2 linked regions of the Arabidopsis thaliana genome follow. The protein of the gene in region 1 interacts with the protein of each later gene in a pairwise test. Each region holds a gene or a part of one and is shown in the gene's direction. Other genes may lie near its edges. The genes, in order: AT1G24210 and HB34.

Region 1 (9,573 bases):
TGCATTTCTTTCTTTAGTACTTGGTTTAATTTGGTTATATAATACATCTTGCAGGTCTGTGATCTTCTCTATTACCATGAAGATTTGAGAGCGGATTTCACCAGAATCTTTCCTAAACTTGGATCCTTTCGCATCAACATCTCTACTAGTATACTATTTCAGTAGATAGTTTGAGAGTATAGTTTCATCATTCAGTGTCCCCTTCTATGATGTGTAGAACAGAACATAACGATAGTTAGAGAACACCATTCTCTATCATGTTTTTGTCTATAAAACGATGAGAAGAGAATGTACAGTTTCTTTTTGGAGAGATTTGAGTTTAGTTTTATTCCTACTCTAAAGAACCTTATTTGAATTACTACGATAATAGACTCAAATACCTCCTAATCAAAACTATCCAATCCAACTAATTATTAAACAATTTGAATTAGTAATTTCTCTGTTTGATTAAAAGAAAGGTCGTTAATATGGAATATCAAATTCTTCTGAGATATATAAATGCGAGTTAATGGTCCATATTGTAAAAGTATAAATACATAATATAACTCAATACGTCAAAACAGTCTCAGTGCATTTGTTTCTTGAAATCTTTGAAGTCGTTTACACTGTGAAGAGGAAGCTTCTTGCTCGTTCGGTAACTACACGACCTTATTCTTCTTCGTTCACGTGAAATCATCTGACGATTAGGTTAATAGATCGAGTTTTCTGGTTCGTTTGTCTCAAATACTCTTATCGATTTCTCATTTGATTCTCTTCTAAGTTCTAAAGATACTGATCGATGAAATTTTACATGAATCTTTAGTCTAGAAGATGAAACTTATATGAATGGTACTAGAGAATAAGCGTAAGAGTTCGTGACATTGATGTGTTGAAGCCAATGATTTGTTTGATTTGGTTTTTGATTAGTTTTAGAATGTAATCTTGATTTGTCATGTAGAGATCGAATGATGATGATCTGCTCTGTTTCTAATGAACAGAGTATCACTGAAGCTAACTATGGATGATGATTATCGTTTAGAGATCGCTTCTACTATACGTGAAACAGTTACATACATCGCTGATGTGAAGGAAGCATTTCTTGACGAACCTGCAAAGTTTCACGAGTTTCTTAGGCTCATGAATGATGTTTGTGATCATAAGTATGAATTTTTTTACGTTTGGTTTGGTTCTTAGTTACCAAGTTTTTCAACTGTGACAAACACACACCTTGTGAATTTTTTTCTGATGTTTTGTAGAATCGAAGAAGCTAATGGCAGTGCAAGGATGGCTGAAATCATTAAAGGGCACCCGAGGCTGCTTCTTGTTTTAAGTGTCTTCTTTCCCAAGTCTAAGCAATACGAAGAGGCTGCCAGATCCATCTCCTCCGAGGCTAGTAGAACCATCCCTCCAAAGGCAACCATACCTCCCAAGTCTAGCAGAACCATTTCTCCCAAGGCTAACAGAACCATCCCTCCCAAGTCGAAGAAAACCTTCCCTCGAGAGGCTAAGAGAACTATCCCTCGAGAGGCTAATAGAAACAGAATCATGCCTTCTGAAGCGAAGAAAACCATCCATCCAGAGGATAAGAGAACCACCCGTCCTGTGGATCATTTAGCCTTCTTCATTCCAAAGGCTAAGAGAACCATCCCTCCAGCTGAGTCTAATAAAAACAAAAAAAACGTTCCGCCAATTTTATGGAGAATCTTGAGGTATAGATTGCTGAAATGGTAAACTAATGGAAACAACATTTTGATGTTTAGTATATGTTAACTTGCGGTTTAAGTAACAAAATTGTCCATGTGCAGGCAAGGTTTCAGGGCTATGGTAGTCATGTAGTTAACTCAGTTCTCCAGATATTGAAAATGTACAGTGAGGGAAACAAGTCCAAAGATGAGGCGTATCAGGAGGTAGTGTTCTTGGTGGGACAATTTGTGTTGTATGTTTCACTCTCTTAGTTCTTTGGTTTGATTTGATTTGTTAACTTTGCAGGTCGTTTCACTTCTTCAGAATCATGTAGATTTAGTCATGGAGTTTGGCGACTATTTCAGTGGAATCTCTGCCTATAATAGGTTCTTAAGAGATGGAAAAGAGTAGAGCTTCTAACGAGAAGAGAGTGTTATAGTTTTCTTTTGTAAGACATTTGAGTTTAGTTTGATTCTTAGTCTAAGGAGAGAACACAACATCATCAAATGCACATATGCACCTCGGCCCAAGCTGAGATCATCCTAAATTCGTAACACAAAAGAAAATAAAAGTTTTTTTTTTTTTTTGCAAAAGGCTTAAAATAATATTAAAGTTACACCTTAAATATCTAAAACTTAAACCATAAGATGGTGTGTATTTTAATTTATTACGAAACATTATAAAGTAAATTTACTAGTATTTGTTGACCAAAAAAAAGAATAAATTTTTGAAAAAAAACTGTTGGATAATTCCAATTACTTGAGCAGCAAGTAATCTCTCTAGAAGATTTTAGAAGAGATAATAAGAAAATAGAAAATACAAATAAAAGTCAAGTTGGATAAGTTCGTAAGTTTTTCTATTCATTATAAGATTAGGAGTAGTTTAATAACTATAAATAAGCGCTTATGGAGAGATGTTCCATAAGACACAAGAGAGAGATTAAGAGGCTTTAGAGAGTTGTTCTAAAGACCTAGAGAGATTTAGTTTTGAGTGAGTTTCTAAATCATATATATGAAAGTTGGCCAATACTCTCCATATGAGTGACACATTATCATACAAGAAAATGACATGTGTTATTATACATTAGTTAAATTAAAAAAACTAGCAAAAATAATTGAGAAAAAATCAAAAGTCTTTTGTTGTGTTAAATTCTCCATTAATATCACTCTTAAATGAATTTTCTAAGAATAATCAATAAATAAAAAATCATAATAATGTATCAAGCACTACTTTCATTCTTTTCTACTTATTTTATTAATTTTTTTATCAATAGTTATTAACCCATAATGGCTAAAATTTTACTTGTGTTGGAGTTTAGATGTTTGCTACCTAACCTCATATTAATTTAGTAATTTTAGTTGGATATTTTTTTATTATTATGTTTTGTGAATTTGATTTATCATATGACCTTCTTTATGTACATTTCACGTAATAGTCATCCAAGACATTAGACATACAAAAAAAAAAATGAGACTCTATATGACTTTATGGTAGGGATGAAAATTACAGTGTTGACTTAAATTACTAGCATATCATGATGTGATTGTGTACTAGATGACGAGAGAGTATATGGAATAAATAATCGTTTGTTACAATTAAGTTAGACAAGTTTCAAAACACATAAGTAATATAACTACATACTGTACATTGTATCAGTATATCATATATTGTTGTAGTATGTGATCATGATAGTGAAATATTAGAATAATAAATATATAAATATACATATTGTAGTAGAATTGATATTTCGAGTTATAGATGAATCTAATCATAAAAAATAATAATTATATTAAATAGATAAATTTATCAAAATGAACATCAAAATCAACAAAAAACCATAATCATATTTTCCAACAATTTTAAAAACAAAAACCCATGCGTAACATGGGTGTTCATCTAGTTATAATAAAGATAAATCGTTCTTTAATTTGTTCTGTTCTTGAATCACGTCACGAATCATACAGAAACTAAGTTACAGCTAGTCGGCTTTGATTTGAAAAACTACGAAAGTAAATTTACTAAGTTATTTTCAGATCTATGGCATCAATTCTTTTGAGTTTTGACATGTAGTCTATTTTTTAATATCAACTAAATATATAATTTTAATACTAAATGCTACATTGTAATATTATAATATATATAAAAAATTGTAATAGTAAATCCTACATTGTAACAAAAGTGATTTTAAAATCTCGAAAAAGTTGAAGTAATAAAATAAAGCTTTGACAGATATGCTTATAAAAATTTACAATTTAATTTGTTATTTACTAAATTTACATTAAAAATCTGTAAATTTTAATAAATGTCAAATTTTATTTACAAACTGACATGTGTTTATTTCATTTAATATTACAATACAATTATATCTCATTGCTACAAAGATATTAATAGCAAATGGACTGATTTCTGCAAGGTTTTTGATATATAAAGACACCCCATACAACTCAAAACGATTCATGTCCTAGTGGTGAAGCTTCTACCCGTAGTAAATTTCTGGTTTGCTTTTCCTTGAACTTTTTTACTTTTATGGTTTGTTACTCTGAAGTATTTTTACAATTCTTCTTTGACTTTACCGATCTAAAGTTGGTTATTGTCATGTTTATTGCATGTACTGTTAAAAAATCCGAGTAATTGTTAATTAAGATCTCTGATGCAAATTCCTGTTCTTTTTTCCAACGATTTTAAGTTACTTTTAAAGAAAAGAGGTAATGTGTTTGAGAAGATAGAAATCAAAATTAAATAATTAATTTCTTCAGTGAAAACAAATAATAATAAAAAATCATTCTCTTTGTTTGGAAAATACAGCTCGATCAATTGAAAACCATGTCGGAAGGAGACAGTATATTTGTGTATAAAGGAGACAAGCCGAAGCCAACCAAAATTGATGCAAAGGCATATATTAAGGCTGTGAAGGATCATTTTCATAATGATAGAAAAAAATATGAAGACTTTCTTGCGATTATGAAAGATTTTAAAGTTCGCAAGTATGTGATATACATAGTTTTTGGAAAATATGACTAAAAATGTTCGGTTCAATTTTTTCGTGTTGAAGAAGTAATTAATTTTGATTTTATAACTTCATTGCAGAATTAGTAGGGCTGATTGCATAACAGCGGTGAAGGAACTGCTTAACGGAGACCAAGACTTGGTTTCTGGTTTCAATGTATTTTTACCAGATTGGTTGGAGATCTAATTATTAGATTGGGGCATGAGATGGGTAGGTGATGTTGTGGGATTTCTTCGTTCGTCTAAACCAAGTTCGGTTTAGATTTGTATTAAATTGAATAATTTATTTGTGATTCGTTCTTTTATTTATTTATTTAGGAATTATGTTATGAATTTAGCCATTGTGTTTTATAAATAAGGCTGTATGATCTTTGTTGCTTTCAATTAACTTCATAATATTAATCTTTTTTCAACTCGTTACTCTTATTATTCAAAATATCTTAAAACGCTAGAACTTCACATTAACACATAGTATAAAAAGCAAAGTATACTAGGTGTTGTTATCAAATTTATACTAGGAATGTATACTAGGTGTTGCTATTGACTATTAATTAGAGTTGTTGAATGTGATGTTGTATTAGAAAATACTGTAGTTCCTAAACATTAACCATATCAAATTAATTTAACACATATATGTATGTAATGTTATGTCAAAGTCAAACTAAGAAATATATGTTTTGGGGAAATTATCTCTTTAGTCTAAACATTAATCTCTATTTTCGATTAGATCATCCCTATACTAAAATTAGCATTTCACATTTTTTACTTTTTTTACTTTTCTCAATTAAAAAGTTTTAATTAATTAATTAAAAAAAAGAAGAAGATTTGCCTTTTTCCTTTTTTAAACCGTACTTTTGATGTAATCCTTAATTATATAATCCAACGTTAAGTGTCGGAAACTAAACCCTAGAGAAATCTCTTCTTCTAGTTCTAGTCTCCTGCTTCTTCGAGATCGTGTGTCGTAACTCGTAAGCTAGGGAAGCCCTTTTTGTCTTCGAATTTCGGTAACTATACGATGATCTTCTTCTCTTATTGTCATTGAATGATTTTGTAGTTTCTGGGATGATTTCGAATTGGGTTCTTCGAATTTAATTTCGTACCTGTGTGATCAATTTTACCTGAATTTCATCAAATCCGATTTAAACCCTCAAATTAGCGAATTAACTTCTTATTGTTTTTGTTAAGACTGAGATTTTAAGACTTCTAAGTGTTTGGTTGGTTTGCTCTGTGTTGATATTGGCCACTTTACACAAGTTCTCACGTTGGTTCTGATGGGAATGAATTAGTTGTTGTTGATTTTGGTTTTGACAATTATTTGGATTTTGAGAAATTTAGCTTATTGCAGCTTTATGTCTTGTTCAATTTCAGTGTTGAGGCAAATCATAGATTTAAGTAATGTTATTAAGATTTCTGCACTCTAGGTTCTGTTTCTTCAAGTGGTAATAATAGCTTCTAGGTTAAATTCAATGATGTGATCTGTTTTACTGAACAAAAATCTTCTCTTTCTTTTGATAACAAAAGGCTAGATTCAAACCATGGTTGGAAGACGAGTATCACCTGCTCTAACTAAGGATGATGCGCATTCATACATCATTGCTGTGAAGGAAACATTTCATGATGAACCTACGAAATATCAAGAGTTTATCAAGCTCTTGAATGGTGTTTGTGATCATAGGTATGTATTCTTTTCTTCCCTGTTATATTTGGTTTGGTCTTTACTTTCAACTGTGAATTGATTCTGATGTTACTAGTCTCTTTTTGCAGAGTCGATAAATATAGTGTCATTGCAAGGGTGGAGGAACTGATGAAAGATCATCAGGATCTTCTTCTTGGTTTCAGTGTCTTCCTTCCACCTGTTTCTGTAGAGGATTTTATAAACAAGCTCAAGGTAAACACATGCTAAAATGACAAATAATCCTTGGAGAGAAACACCAAAATCCTTTTTTGATTCCTCTTTTACTAACTAGAGCAAATTTGTCCATCTGCAGACACGGTTTCAGAGCCTTGATACTCATGTAGTGGGGGCAATTCGCGGGTTAATGAAGATGTTTAAAGAGGGAAAGATGTCGGTAAAGGAGGTGCAAGAGGAGGTAATGTTTGTTCTTGGTGGGCTATTTTGTGTACTTGTGTTTTTTTTTTTTTTTTTTGGTTCTCTTTGTTTGATTTGGTTAGAAATAATATTATCTTGCAGGTCATTGATGTTCTCTTCTATCATGAAGATTTGATTGAAGACTTTCTCAGATTTTTCACAAAGAACCCTGTATCAACAGCATCACTACTACTACAATTATAACGAGTGATGTATTTTTTATGAATGAGAATGGAGTGTATAGTTTCTTTTGTAGAGGTTTTAAATCTTTGCTTTTCACCATGAAGAGGATGAGATTTGAATTTGATATACTCAGATGATTGAAACTCAAAGTGTCACAAAACTCAAAAATACTTCTCATAACCTTATTTTGTTTATGTTGAATTTTACTGATGAAAAACCTATGAAAGATCAAACATTTTTTTAAAACTCATTTCTTAGTTTTGTTATGTACTTAATTAATGGTTGTTAAAAAAAGGGTTTTGTGTAAAAAAACACTTCGAACTCATCCATTTTTACAATTTTATCCTTCACCTCCAACATATTGAGATTAATCCTATGAAGTCTAAAATAATACGCATTGTAACCCTTCTTTGTTTTTTTCTTTACTATTAATTTTGTAAAATATTGACATGTAATATATTAAATCTAAACCCTCACGATGAAGAGTTCAACTCTGCCTTCAAAATTTTAAAATTCTAATGTATATCATCGTAAAAACGTTTACAATATACGTATAAATGTCATATTGCGTATTATTTTAAACTTTATAAGATTAATCTGCATATATTGGAGGTGGAGGGTAAAGTTACAAAAATGGATGATTTAACCCTTTTAAAAAAAGTACATAATTAATTAAAATACACCAAATAATAAAAAAAAATCATTAAAATAAATAGAAAATCTTACATAACCTTGGAATCATAATACATAAACAAAACCCTACCGAGACTAGAAACTCGTCTCCCCTGCTTCGTGCTCGTGATCGTGAAGCCTTCTTCATTCGTCTTTGGTACCTATACACATGTGTTCTTCTTCTTTTTTGTGTGATCTTCGTTACGTCCACTACAAGTTTTATTTTCTTTGTTCATTGCCTTTGTAGTTGCTAGATCTGTTGCTTGTTGTAATTTGTATTCGTGGGATGATATCGAGTTCCTTGAATATATTTTTCGTAATATGTGATAAGATATCAAATCCGACTGATGAAGTTTAATCAACTTGAAGTCTCAAAACTAGATATGAGTTTTGTTTTGTCCCCAATAAAAAGTGTTAATCTAATCCCGTCAGACTTAATACTATGGCAATCTCTGAATTGGGGTATCTTTGGTTAAGAATGAGAGTAGGACATATCTAAATCCAATACTTGACTGGTTTGCCCTGTGTTTGAATTGACTACTTCACATGTGTAGGTTACGTGTGATAACTAATAATGGATCACCTTGAGGAATGAATTGTTTTGTTGTTAAGACTTTGGGGTTGTTCAAGGATCCAATATTTTTTGAAGAAACCTTGCACCATCTTTTGATTCTAATAATGTTTCACCTTTTTTTTTGGCTGCCTCTCTTTGAACAATAAAGCTTTCCTAAACTTCAAACCATGGTTGGAGAAGGAGGCGCACACAAGCCTACTACAAATGACGCGCTTAAATACCTTAGAGCCGTGAAGGCTAAATTTCAAGGTCAACGTGAAAAATATGACGAGTTTCTTCAGATCATGATAGATTATAAAACTCAGAGGTTAAAGTTCTTTCTACTTTTATGTTTGCATTTGGTCTTGGTTTAGGTAAAACTCCATGGTTTCTGAGAACTGATTACCGACTATTGTGTTGTATAGAATTGATATATCTGGTGTTATAATAAGGATGAAAGAACTCTTGAAAGAACAACAAGGATTACTTTTGGGTTTCAATGCCTTCTTACCAAATGGTTATATGATCACACATCATGAACAACCTTCACAGAAGAAACCTGTCGAGTTAGGGGAAGCAATTAGTTTTATTAACAAGATTAAGGTATATATGTTTATGTGTTATAAACTGTCCAAGGAAATTACTGCTTTTCCCTTTCCTACTCTCTTAGTTATTCATTCATTTGCAGACAAGGTTTCAGGGCGATGATCGTGTATACAAATCAGTTTTAGACATTTTAAACATGTACAGAAAGGATAGGAAGCCCATCACCGCGGTCTACCGGGAGGTAGGCTCATTGATTCATACTAAGTTTTTTTTTTTTTATTGCTAATATTTTACTTAGTTTCACACGTTTATCTTATCAGGTTGCCATCCTATTTCTAGATCATAACAATTTGCTTGTGGAGTTTACTCACTTTCTGCCTGCTACTCCAGCTACTCCAGCAACAGCCTTGTTGCATTCACAGTTTTGCATAGATCATCCTGATTTGCTTGAAGAGTTGGATTGCTTTCTGCCAACTATTTCTCAGAGTTTTTTGTGACGAAAGGATTGCTATGTTACTTCAATCGCTTCACATATAAGTAGTTTTTTTTTTTTAAAGTTACAAGTCAGAGATAATAGTAGAGGTTTTTTCTTTTTAATATGCATGATTAATAGCTTTCTTTTCCCTATAAATTATAGCCACTATCAAAATTCAAAATTACCATCATCTATAGTTATTCAATGCTTTTTTTTTTACCTAGTTATTTCAATGCTTACCTATGAGTTTACTATGTGTAACATGAGGATAAGGGTTATCGGAATTATTCTACGAACAAGGTGACAAAGTTTTCGGTCTACCGGAAAGATAGTAATGCCGATAAAAAAAAAATGAATTTAAAAGGCGAATAATATGTTCCGTTTTTA
Region 2 (9,657 bases), on another chromosome or scaffold:
ACACTCCATCATATTAAAGTAATCTACACTCTATTTCTATATTTAATTTAGTATATTTTTTAAAACCAAATTTTAGTCTTATACATTCAATTTTACAATACTATTTAACTATCTATTTTATCATAATAAAGTTTGTTTTGATTCTACGAATTTTATCTTAATGGATAAGTGCTATGATTTTATCAAAACAATACGTATATCATATCAAATTTATATCTTAGTTAATATTTAAAAATTTAACATATAACAAAACATAATTAACAACAAACATTGTTTAAATTATAGTTTTTTATATTACCTAATCTTGTAAGTTAAGTTTACCTCATTTCAGTTTAATTTTAAATGACTTAAGTTTAATAAATAAAACAGACAATATATACTAAATAAAACAGACAATATAATTTCTATATGCCACTTTTCCAAATTTTTGGTGGTTTTACTTATGATTATATAGATTAAAATTCTTAAAATAAAACATAAATATAAATCTAATAATATTCTCATCAGGTATTCAAAAATTCAGTTTTATAAAGTTATTCTCTTTCAAATATTTTGTGTTTTCATTTAACGGATAAAAATATTATATAATGATAAATACAATTTTTATCTAATTTTAATACAATTTGGAAAGCATGCGTCAATCGTGAGTCTTCTAGCTTTTTGAGGTTATCCAGACAACTAACTCAAAATCCATTCACAAGAAAGTCAAAGGCTGAGAGAAAAAGAGTAGATCGACCTCCAACTATGCAAAATCTTCCATCCAAAACATTATACATTTAATAATAACAAAAATCTGAAATTTAAAATATATAAGAATATGCAATCTAATGTTGGTGTTAGTGAAATCGTTGTGTCATTATCCAACTTAAAACTCACATACTATATGTTTTTGACCAAAACAAAATTAAAATAAGACATCGTTAAAAGATAAAATAAAAATAGTGAAACTTAAGTTACAATGAATTGTGAAAATGAATATATATATATATATATATATATATATATATATATATATATATATATATATAATCAGGAAATAAAAGATTAGGTTGGAAAAAAAAATTATAATGGAATCAAATTTTGGAAGAGACTAAGTGGAAAAAATAGTGAAACTAGTTTATGTATATTTCTTTATATTTACACACTAAATAAATTGTATGAATCTTAGTGTACAAAAAAATAGTGAAAGGTGACTATTTTTAAAATAATAAATAATAAAATGATTGTTTTTTAAATTATATTTGGACAATGACTATTAGTCTAGTCACTAGTCTATTTAGTATATTTTTCAACTAATTAAAAAAAAAAAATACGCAGGTGGTCCTCGTGTAGAGAGACAAAAATGGTATTTATCTTTTTAAGAGTATATTATTAATGGTTTTTTAAAATAATTTTTAAATTAAGAGACATGTCTTATAATGTCTTATAATAGCTTATAACTAACAAAAATCTCTTATTTAAAAGACTTTAAAACACTTTAGTTAGATATAAGACATATTTTTTAATTAATAGTTATGTTAAGATACCATCAATAAAAATTGTCTAAGATGGAGTAATATAGTAATTTAATATAGTCCATTGGGCCACTGAAACTTGTCCAAAATCGTTTTACAGTATATCACTAATTTGGTTCGGGTCAGCTAAAAATATGTTCTTAATCTCTCGCGGTCTAAGTTAATAGCCACAGTTAGAAACTAATGCATTATAGCTAATAAACGTACAAAAAAAAAATATTGTTTTATCTTCTTCTGATAATCTGATTCCTGATCTAGAAAAATGTGGTTCCATCATTCTTTCGACCAAGAAAATAGAATAATTCTTTATCATCAAACAAAAAAAACAATAAAGAAAACTTAGTCCCCAACATAATATACATCTTATTCTCATAATAGACATCATTAACCATAATTTTTATGCACCGAATCTGTATATCTAATCCATGTACAGAAATATTTGTAGTACGAAATTCAAAATACACATAGATGCACATAATTTATTTGTGACAAAAAACGAAGAAGGCAAAGATTGTTATATCGGACGTAATATGTGGTTTAATATTTCACGTACCACTTAACTGATGTTTGATGGTGGTGTACGAACCGATTGAGAGATAATTAAAAAAAAAAATCGAAGGATCATATTTTTCGTGTTTGGTTACCGATCGATAGGTTGAATTTCTCGGTCCAATGATGCAATCATTCGTTGGAAAATAATTTGTGATTTCAGAATCCAAAAACATGCGTACAATACGACCTTCTTATTTGCCAATTCATTTGTATAGTGATTATTCTCATCACTATGGTTTAGTCATCATTGGCTTTGTTCTGAAATGTTTTTCTTTATTTTTTTTGGTTTTAGCCGTATTTTGCTTGTTCGAAAGAAGGAGCAAGTTGTGATGCTCTTGATGTGATCGCCCAGAAGAAACTTTGGCCACCGACTTCGTTTTTCTCGGCGATGGTCGCTTGGTACGAACACATTGGCCTTGGCCCATGGCGTTTGCTTGATTGTTTGTACACACCACCGCACATGACAGAGAATCATCAAAATTTGAATATTTTAAATAATAAATATAAATTACATATATTTAGTAAGTTCCGATACTAATTTAGATTTTAGTCTATGACCTTGAATGACGGTAGTTTTTAGACATTAGGTCTTAGTTTTAAACCCAAAAGACCGAATTTGATATAGGATCTATTTATGGTAACCGAAGAATTTAACTGCATATGACTAAAGACATGACTGGTTTAATTGCAGCGGACGGGGCTGTGGTTTCGCTTGCGGTTGCGGAAATTTGCGGAAGCGAGATATTGTGGTTTCAAGCGTTTTAAACGACTAATTTAACGTTTCAAAATAGATGCATTTGCAGAAATCTTATGACTAGATGCAATAATAATTAAATAAATAAAAAAGATCCAAAATAAATATAATATATAGGATTAGATACAAATATGAAAAGATATATACAGAATTATATATATTTATCTTAATTACAAATATGTTGATTATTTATTATTATTTTAATATTTTAATTCAACCGCTACCATCCACAACTACAAACGTTTGCGGGAAGGAGTTTTTGAAATGTATTGATATCGAGCGATCCGAGCAGTATCCCGCGATTTATATGATTATTGTCAATCACTAACAATTGTTACCACATGTAAATGATGCGTTTGCATGTAGTAGAAGGAGAACCAATCAACCCCTTAACTGATGATGGCTGAATTTATTTTAAAGGTGGCTGAATGACTTCAAATGATAACCACTGAATTTATTTGAGATTATTCATTTTTCAATATAGTTACCTGCTGGTAACATATATTTCCTCCATTCATAATAATATCGTTTTAAATATTTTTATATAAATTATTAATATATATTATATTTTAAAAACCAAACTGATTCATACTTTATAGATTTTACATTGAAAATTTAGAACAATACTTATTTTGGAAAAAATCTTTAAACAACAAAACAGAATAAGTATTTTTTTTAATATTATTTTGTGAAAAACAACTATTTAGTTTACAATAATACCTAATAGTATAAGTAAACTTTTACAAAGTTGTTCGGTAATTACATTGTAATAGTCAAATATACAAAATGCTAAACATATTTTAACAGAAGGAACAAATATTAGAATAAAGTAAAAAGAAGCCAACTTCAAAAAAAAACAAGAAGTGTCACAATGCATGAGAATATTAATTATAATTGGACTGTCTTTAGGTTTAAGACATTTATTACTCTATATATATTTCCCCACTCCCTATTACAGGTCCCACTTTTAACCATACATTTAACCATAGTTAAATCATCAAACCCTACCTTTCTCTGTTAAACATCTTCAAGCTCTGTCCTTTTATTTTAAATATATTTATTATTCACATTTATTAACATTTTTATATCTCTCCCTATTAAATTATTTTATTCTCTCTTAGCAACATTCATCAACCAGAGCAGATTCACTATCATCATCTTATAACACATCTTCTTCCTCTAAAGTTTATTTTCTTAAACTTATTACAAAAAACATGATCTTCAAAAGTTGATTTAATCTCTTTTTATCCATCTTCTTCTTCATTTCTCAATATCAAACTTTTCTTTTTTTGTAAGCTTAACATAAACCCTAATATTTTCTTGATTTTTTTCAAGAAAATAAAAACATAAAGATGCTTGAAGTTAGATCAATGGATATGACTCCAAAATCACCAGAACCCGAATCCGAAACTCCGACCCGGATCCAACCAGCTAAACCAATCTCTTTCAGTAACGGAATCATCAAACGCCACCACCACCACCACCACAACAACAACAAAGTCACTTACAAAGAATGTCTCAAGAACCACGCGGCGGCGATTGGTGGTCACGCGCTTGACGGTTGCGGCGAATTTATGCCGTCTCCTTCGTCAACACCTTCCGATCCAACTTCTCTCAAGTGTGCAGCTTGTGGTTGTCACCGTAACTTCCACCGCCGTGAAACTGACGATTCCTCCGCCGTTCCACCACCGTCTCTTCTTCCATCTTCAACAACAACCGCCGCAATTGAGTATCAGCCTCATCACCGTCATCATCCTCCTCCTCCGCTAGCTCCTCCGTTACCACGTAGTCCTAATTCATCTTCTCCGCCGCCTATCTCTTCCTCCTACATGCTTTTAGCTCTCTCCGGTAATAATAAAACCGCACCGTTCTCAGATCTAAACTTCGCCGCCGCGGCTAACCATCTCTCCGCCACGCCTGGCTCGAGGAAGCGATTCAGGACGAAGTTTAGCTCAAATCAGAAAGAGAAGATGCATGAATTCGCCGATCGAATCGGTTGGAAGATTCAGAAACGTGACGAAGACGAAGTTCGTGATTTTTGCCGTGAGATCGGAGTTGATAAAGGTGTTCTCAAAGTTTGGATGCATAATAACAAAAACTCCTTCAAATTCTCCGGCGGAGGAGCAACCACCGTGCAGAGAAACGATAACGGTATCGGCGGCGAGAACAGTAACGATGATGGAGTTCGCGGTTTAGCTAACGACGGTGACGGTGGTGGTGGGAGATTTGAGAGTGATAGTGGAGGAGCTGATGGTGGCGGAAACGTAAACGCCTCGTCGTCTTCGTCGTGAAGAAGAAAACATCATGTCGTTTTGCAGGGAAAGAGTTATAATAATGGAAGCTTAAGCTTTGTTTTTAGCTTTAGATCATAGAGAGTAAGCACTGGTATTATTATCGTTAATACGTTTTATTAATATTAATTAAACTCTTTTAGCTCTTTTTTAATTTTCCAATTTTATTATAATTTCATTACCACGACGTTGTCTTATTTTTCCATTTAAAGTAAGTTTATATCAACAAATTGGATTATGTTATAATAAGTCAATTTTGGTTAATTTAATGAACCCTAATGAGGAAAATTTTATAACTTTAATGTTTTTTTTAATAATATGTTTTTTGGCTTCTTATCTTAAAAGCATTTTGTCTTTTTAAATTGTAACGTTCCCAAAGGTTTCATAATACTTTTCCACTAATGGAAAGATTATATGAACTAATCACCCGAATTAGTCACAACACTATAGGTCAATTTAGGTAATCAAACGAACCCTAAAATGTGAGTCCCAAACATAAATAAACTATTGCAATTTAGTTAATTATTTAATATTATTTGATGGTTTCTTATCTTGAAGAGTACTTTGTCGCTTAATTTAATATGCGATCAAACTAAGATCTAGGTGTCCTTTTCATAAATCTCTCTTTATTCTTTGAGAAAAGAGACAGGTTTTGTTTTATATATTAATTATTCTAATAATATATTTTGCAATGATTAGTTATCTTGGTGTCTAATTAACAAAAGATTCATCGGATAATTCATTTTAATTTCCTCATTAATCCATTTCTTTATCATCCTTACATTCCCACTATCCGTTTTTGGTATATATGCTCAAGTGTTCGATATTCTTAAAGTGCAAACTACAAATAAGTATATATTATATAATTGGGATCTAACTATTATTATTAAAGTGCTATATAGTGTTAATTTAGGGCGTGGAACTAATCATTAACTTTACGAATAATTTAAATAACTTTCTAACTGGGAAACGTAGAAATGCAGCCGTGATTATGCGATAGGCTTAAGACAATTAGATACTAGTCGTGATTAATAAATGTCGGCTTACCAAACATAAAATATTAATAAAACTGTAATTAGATTAGAATATTGCATGAGAAAGCACAAAATATGTTATGTAGTATGCTTTTGGTGTCTAGGATTTAATTCTTAGAGAATACGTTTTGTCTAATTAGCTAGATTTATGGATAAAACTATCTAAAGATGTATAATATAATGTAGATAGAATATCTGGGTTTCTATGTGAATTGTCAATTAAATTTGACCTATGAATGAATATATGCAATGAATTTTATATTACAATAGAATTGTTTGTTGTGCATTCGTTTGTAAATACTAAATAGGTAGTACTATTAATTATGTTTTATAAAAAAAGAAAATTTTGGATTATATTATCATTATGGTTTTAGAAAATCAAATTATTTGTTGAATGATGTTGTAATAGAATAAAAATCTAAACAGTGATAATTCACTTGATTACAGAAATTTATCGAAAAAATCTGAGGTTCAAGTTTTTACTTAAGAAAAATGGTTTACGTTTTTAATAAGTTTTACTAATTAAGGGGTTTTTGGGTCAAAACTAAGGGTTGGTTCAATATATATGGAGAGAGATTTTGGTAAAGATCTATACATTATATATATATATATATATTTTACGTTATCACCAAATAGAATTTGTTAAATTTATGCTAATAAACAAATTAATATATATTTGCTATTATTTTACAGATTTCGTGAAGTCACAAATCTCTTTTTCGTGGTAGGGACAAACTTTAACACAGGGTGAGGTTATGGCCCTAACTGCCATATACCATGTGCACAGTGCACCACTTACTAATTTGAATTATTCCTGACGTAACTATTGCTAACAAAATTCCTACTTCTTATTTTAATTTATATAATTATTTTTTGGAAACATAGATGACCTAATTTCCGCTATAAATTAATTTTAGTGGAATATACTGAAATAATTTTGTGATGTAAATTTTAGTCGTTTTACTAATCACAAATTATTGATGGAATCCGATTTGCAGAAAACTATTTATCATATTTTTTAATATGAATTATGAACATTCTTAAAATACTAGTTCTGGTGTTTTCAATTAATTCACTCTCTTTTTTATATATTTTTTCATTTTATTCTAATTTTTTTGTTGTTTCTACAATTTTAAAATGCTAAAATCATATTCTCTATATTTTATGTATTATTCACAATTTTGCCTCCTTCCTCTCTCCCTCTCTCCTTCCCTCTCTCCTTCCCTCTCTCCCTCTCTCTCTTTCTCTCTCTCTCTCCCTCTCTCCCTCTCTCTTTCTCTCTCTCTCCCTCCCTCCCTCTCTCCCTCTCTCCCTCTCTCCCTCTCTCCCTCTCTCTCTTAATGTCTCTTACTTTTATTTTCTATATGTACTTTCTATTCTATTCTAAAAAAATAATATTATACATAATAAAATTTATAATATAACTATCACCTATATTATTATACTATTATCTCTACTACCAAGTCACCATTACCTTATCACTGTCTCACTGCTATAACCGTATTGTCGCCACTACAATCGTATTGCCGCCACTACCACCGTCATTTTTACCGTTATCACCACTATAATCGTTATCATCATCACCATTGTTACCGTCAATCCCACCACCATCGCTACTGTCTATGTCACAACAACAGTTTACCACGCTTGCTTGGGTTCCCAATATTGTATCTCTTAGGGTATAGTTTTTTAATGATGATCATATCGGTTTAACTCGGTCATTTAGATCGTCTATATTTTATTTCTTACGATTATCGTAGCTATTATTGCAACTTAAATTACTATCCCACCACCACTACCACCACTATTACTTTATTTAATTTAAAATATTTTGTTCTATTCTAAACTTAAAATTGAATTACGAATAATTTATGAAAATAGTATAGTACAACATTTTATTTCTATACATCATAAATAGTAGAATATAAATTTACTTACAAACATTATTTACTATTTTATAAATACAAATCCGATTTTTAAAATTTAAACTATGTTGTATGTAGAAAAAAACATAAATTTTCATCTCATAAATTTCAGAATTAGAATCTATTTTTTGGAAAAGATATATAACAAAAACATAAAAATGGGTGAAAACTAAATGAAGTGTTACTAAATCATCTCTCACCAATTATTCCACACCAAAATTGTCTTTTTACAACCCTTATATGCTACTTTTTTAATTTATATGTATATTATGCTTTATTTTTAATTAAATTATCAAATATGGCTAGTTTTGCAAATGACCCATAATTTAACAATAATAATGCTACAAAGAAAAAATCTTCTGGTTCTTGTCTTCACATTTGTACCACATGATAGGTAAGTCTTATTTCTTTTCTCGTAAACAAAAATCGAAAAATGTCTTGCAACACTTTATGTAAAAAAAGAAAAACGAAAAAACGAAGTTATGCATGAAGTGGGATAGCATAAACTGGAAAAGCTTATTCTAAGAAAGTTGAGATTTGGAGAATCAAAAGACCAAATTGTGTATCTTTTTCCCACTCCTTTTGTATTCTAAAAAAAATTGTTGTATTATAAGAAAACAAAATAAAAAAGGACCTATGAGCATTATCTTGATAACATCCCCTAGTTGAAAATCAATTAGAGGACCATATAATTACACAAACAGAATATTATATATAATAAAAGTCATTTAACTTTACTGGTAGATAAAATAAATTAAATTTTCTAAATAATACAAAACCTCAGAAATTGTTGATGTAACGAAAAATCTTAGTTGTGGACCTTGTCATATTAAAAAGCGAATAAATTTGTATTTATGTAATAAATACAATTAGTTTTTGTTCTCAAAGCCTATATTCAACTCAACTTTTTTGAAATATACTGTTTACTTATCATATTATCAGAAATAAATTTCCCATTTAACAGAAATAAATTTGAAGACTTTTTTTTTGAAATGCCTTTGGGAATAATTAAAGATTATTTCACTTTTATGTGGTCCTGTTTCTTAAACCACTTATACCTTATTTTTGCCTTGGCAAGATTTGAATTTCCAATGTGATATTTCTTTAAGATACTAAACCTTTAATCTACTTCATGATAACTAAATAAAATTTTGTTTTGTTGACATAAGCATAATATTTTTCTTAATAGCCGAGAGACTTCTGTATTGAAATATAAGTTGTTTTGGATAAATTTTTTTGTTTCATAATATAAGTTGTTTTAAAATTAGTTATTTTCAAGTTTTAATGTAAATTATATATTATTTTAATATTTTATAATTATTTATATTTACAGTTTCATTTATGATTGACTAAACGAAAATATTCTTAATATGCGTACTTATAGCTATAACAACTTATATTATGTAAAGGAGAGAGTAAAAGTTGTGACATCCATTGTTTTTTTTTTTGTTTTTTAATTCTTATTTAAATCATCTACAATAATTTGATAATGAAGATCCTTCAAGAAAAAAATTGGGTCATATATACTTGCTGATAGGTAGTGTACAATAAAGGGCTAAAAATTTGGTTTATTCGGTTAAAATTGTT

The links.
Region 2: the proteins of AT1G24210 (region 1) and HB34 interact in a two-hybrid assay, tested with the Arabidopsis thaliana proteins (one large-scale study listed by BioGRID).

The regions. Positions count from the first base shown.
Region 1 is NC_003070.9:8,571,158-8,580,730, reverse strand, and holds AT1G24210 (Paired amphipathic helix (PAH2) superfamily protein), read left to right. Parts: upstream 1-5,546; 5' UTR 5,547-5,672; intron 5,673-6,189; 5' UTR 6,190-6,203; coding exon 6,204-6,343; intron 6,344-6,432; coding exon 6,433-6,556; intron 6,557-6,656; coding exon 6,657-6,758; intron 6,759-6,859; coding exon 6,860-6,961; 3' UTR 6,962-7,187; downstream 7,188-9,573. Other genes in the region: AT1G24220 (paired amphipathic helix repeat-containing protein), read left to right, coding at 55-148, 564-666, 978-1,139, 1,236-1,659, 1,785-1,886, 1,969-2,073; AT1G24200 (Paired amphipathic helix (PAH2) superfamily protein), read left to right, coding at 8,354-8,493, 8,591-8,768, 8,854-8,952, 9,032-9,100, 9,454-9,558.
Region 2 is NC_003074.8:10,936,052-10,945,708, reverse strand, and holds HB34 (homeobox protein 34), read left to right. Parts: upstream 1-3,875; 5' UTR 3,876-4,172; coding exon 4,173-5,111; 3' UTR 5,112-5,404; downstream 5,405-9,657. UniProt on the Arabidopsis thaliana protein: Putative transcription factor.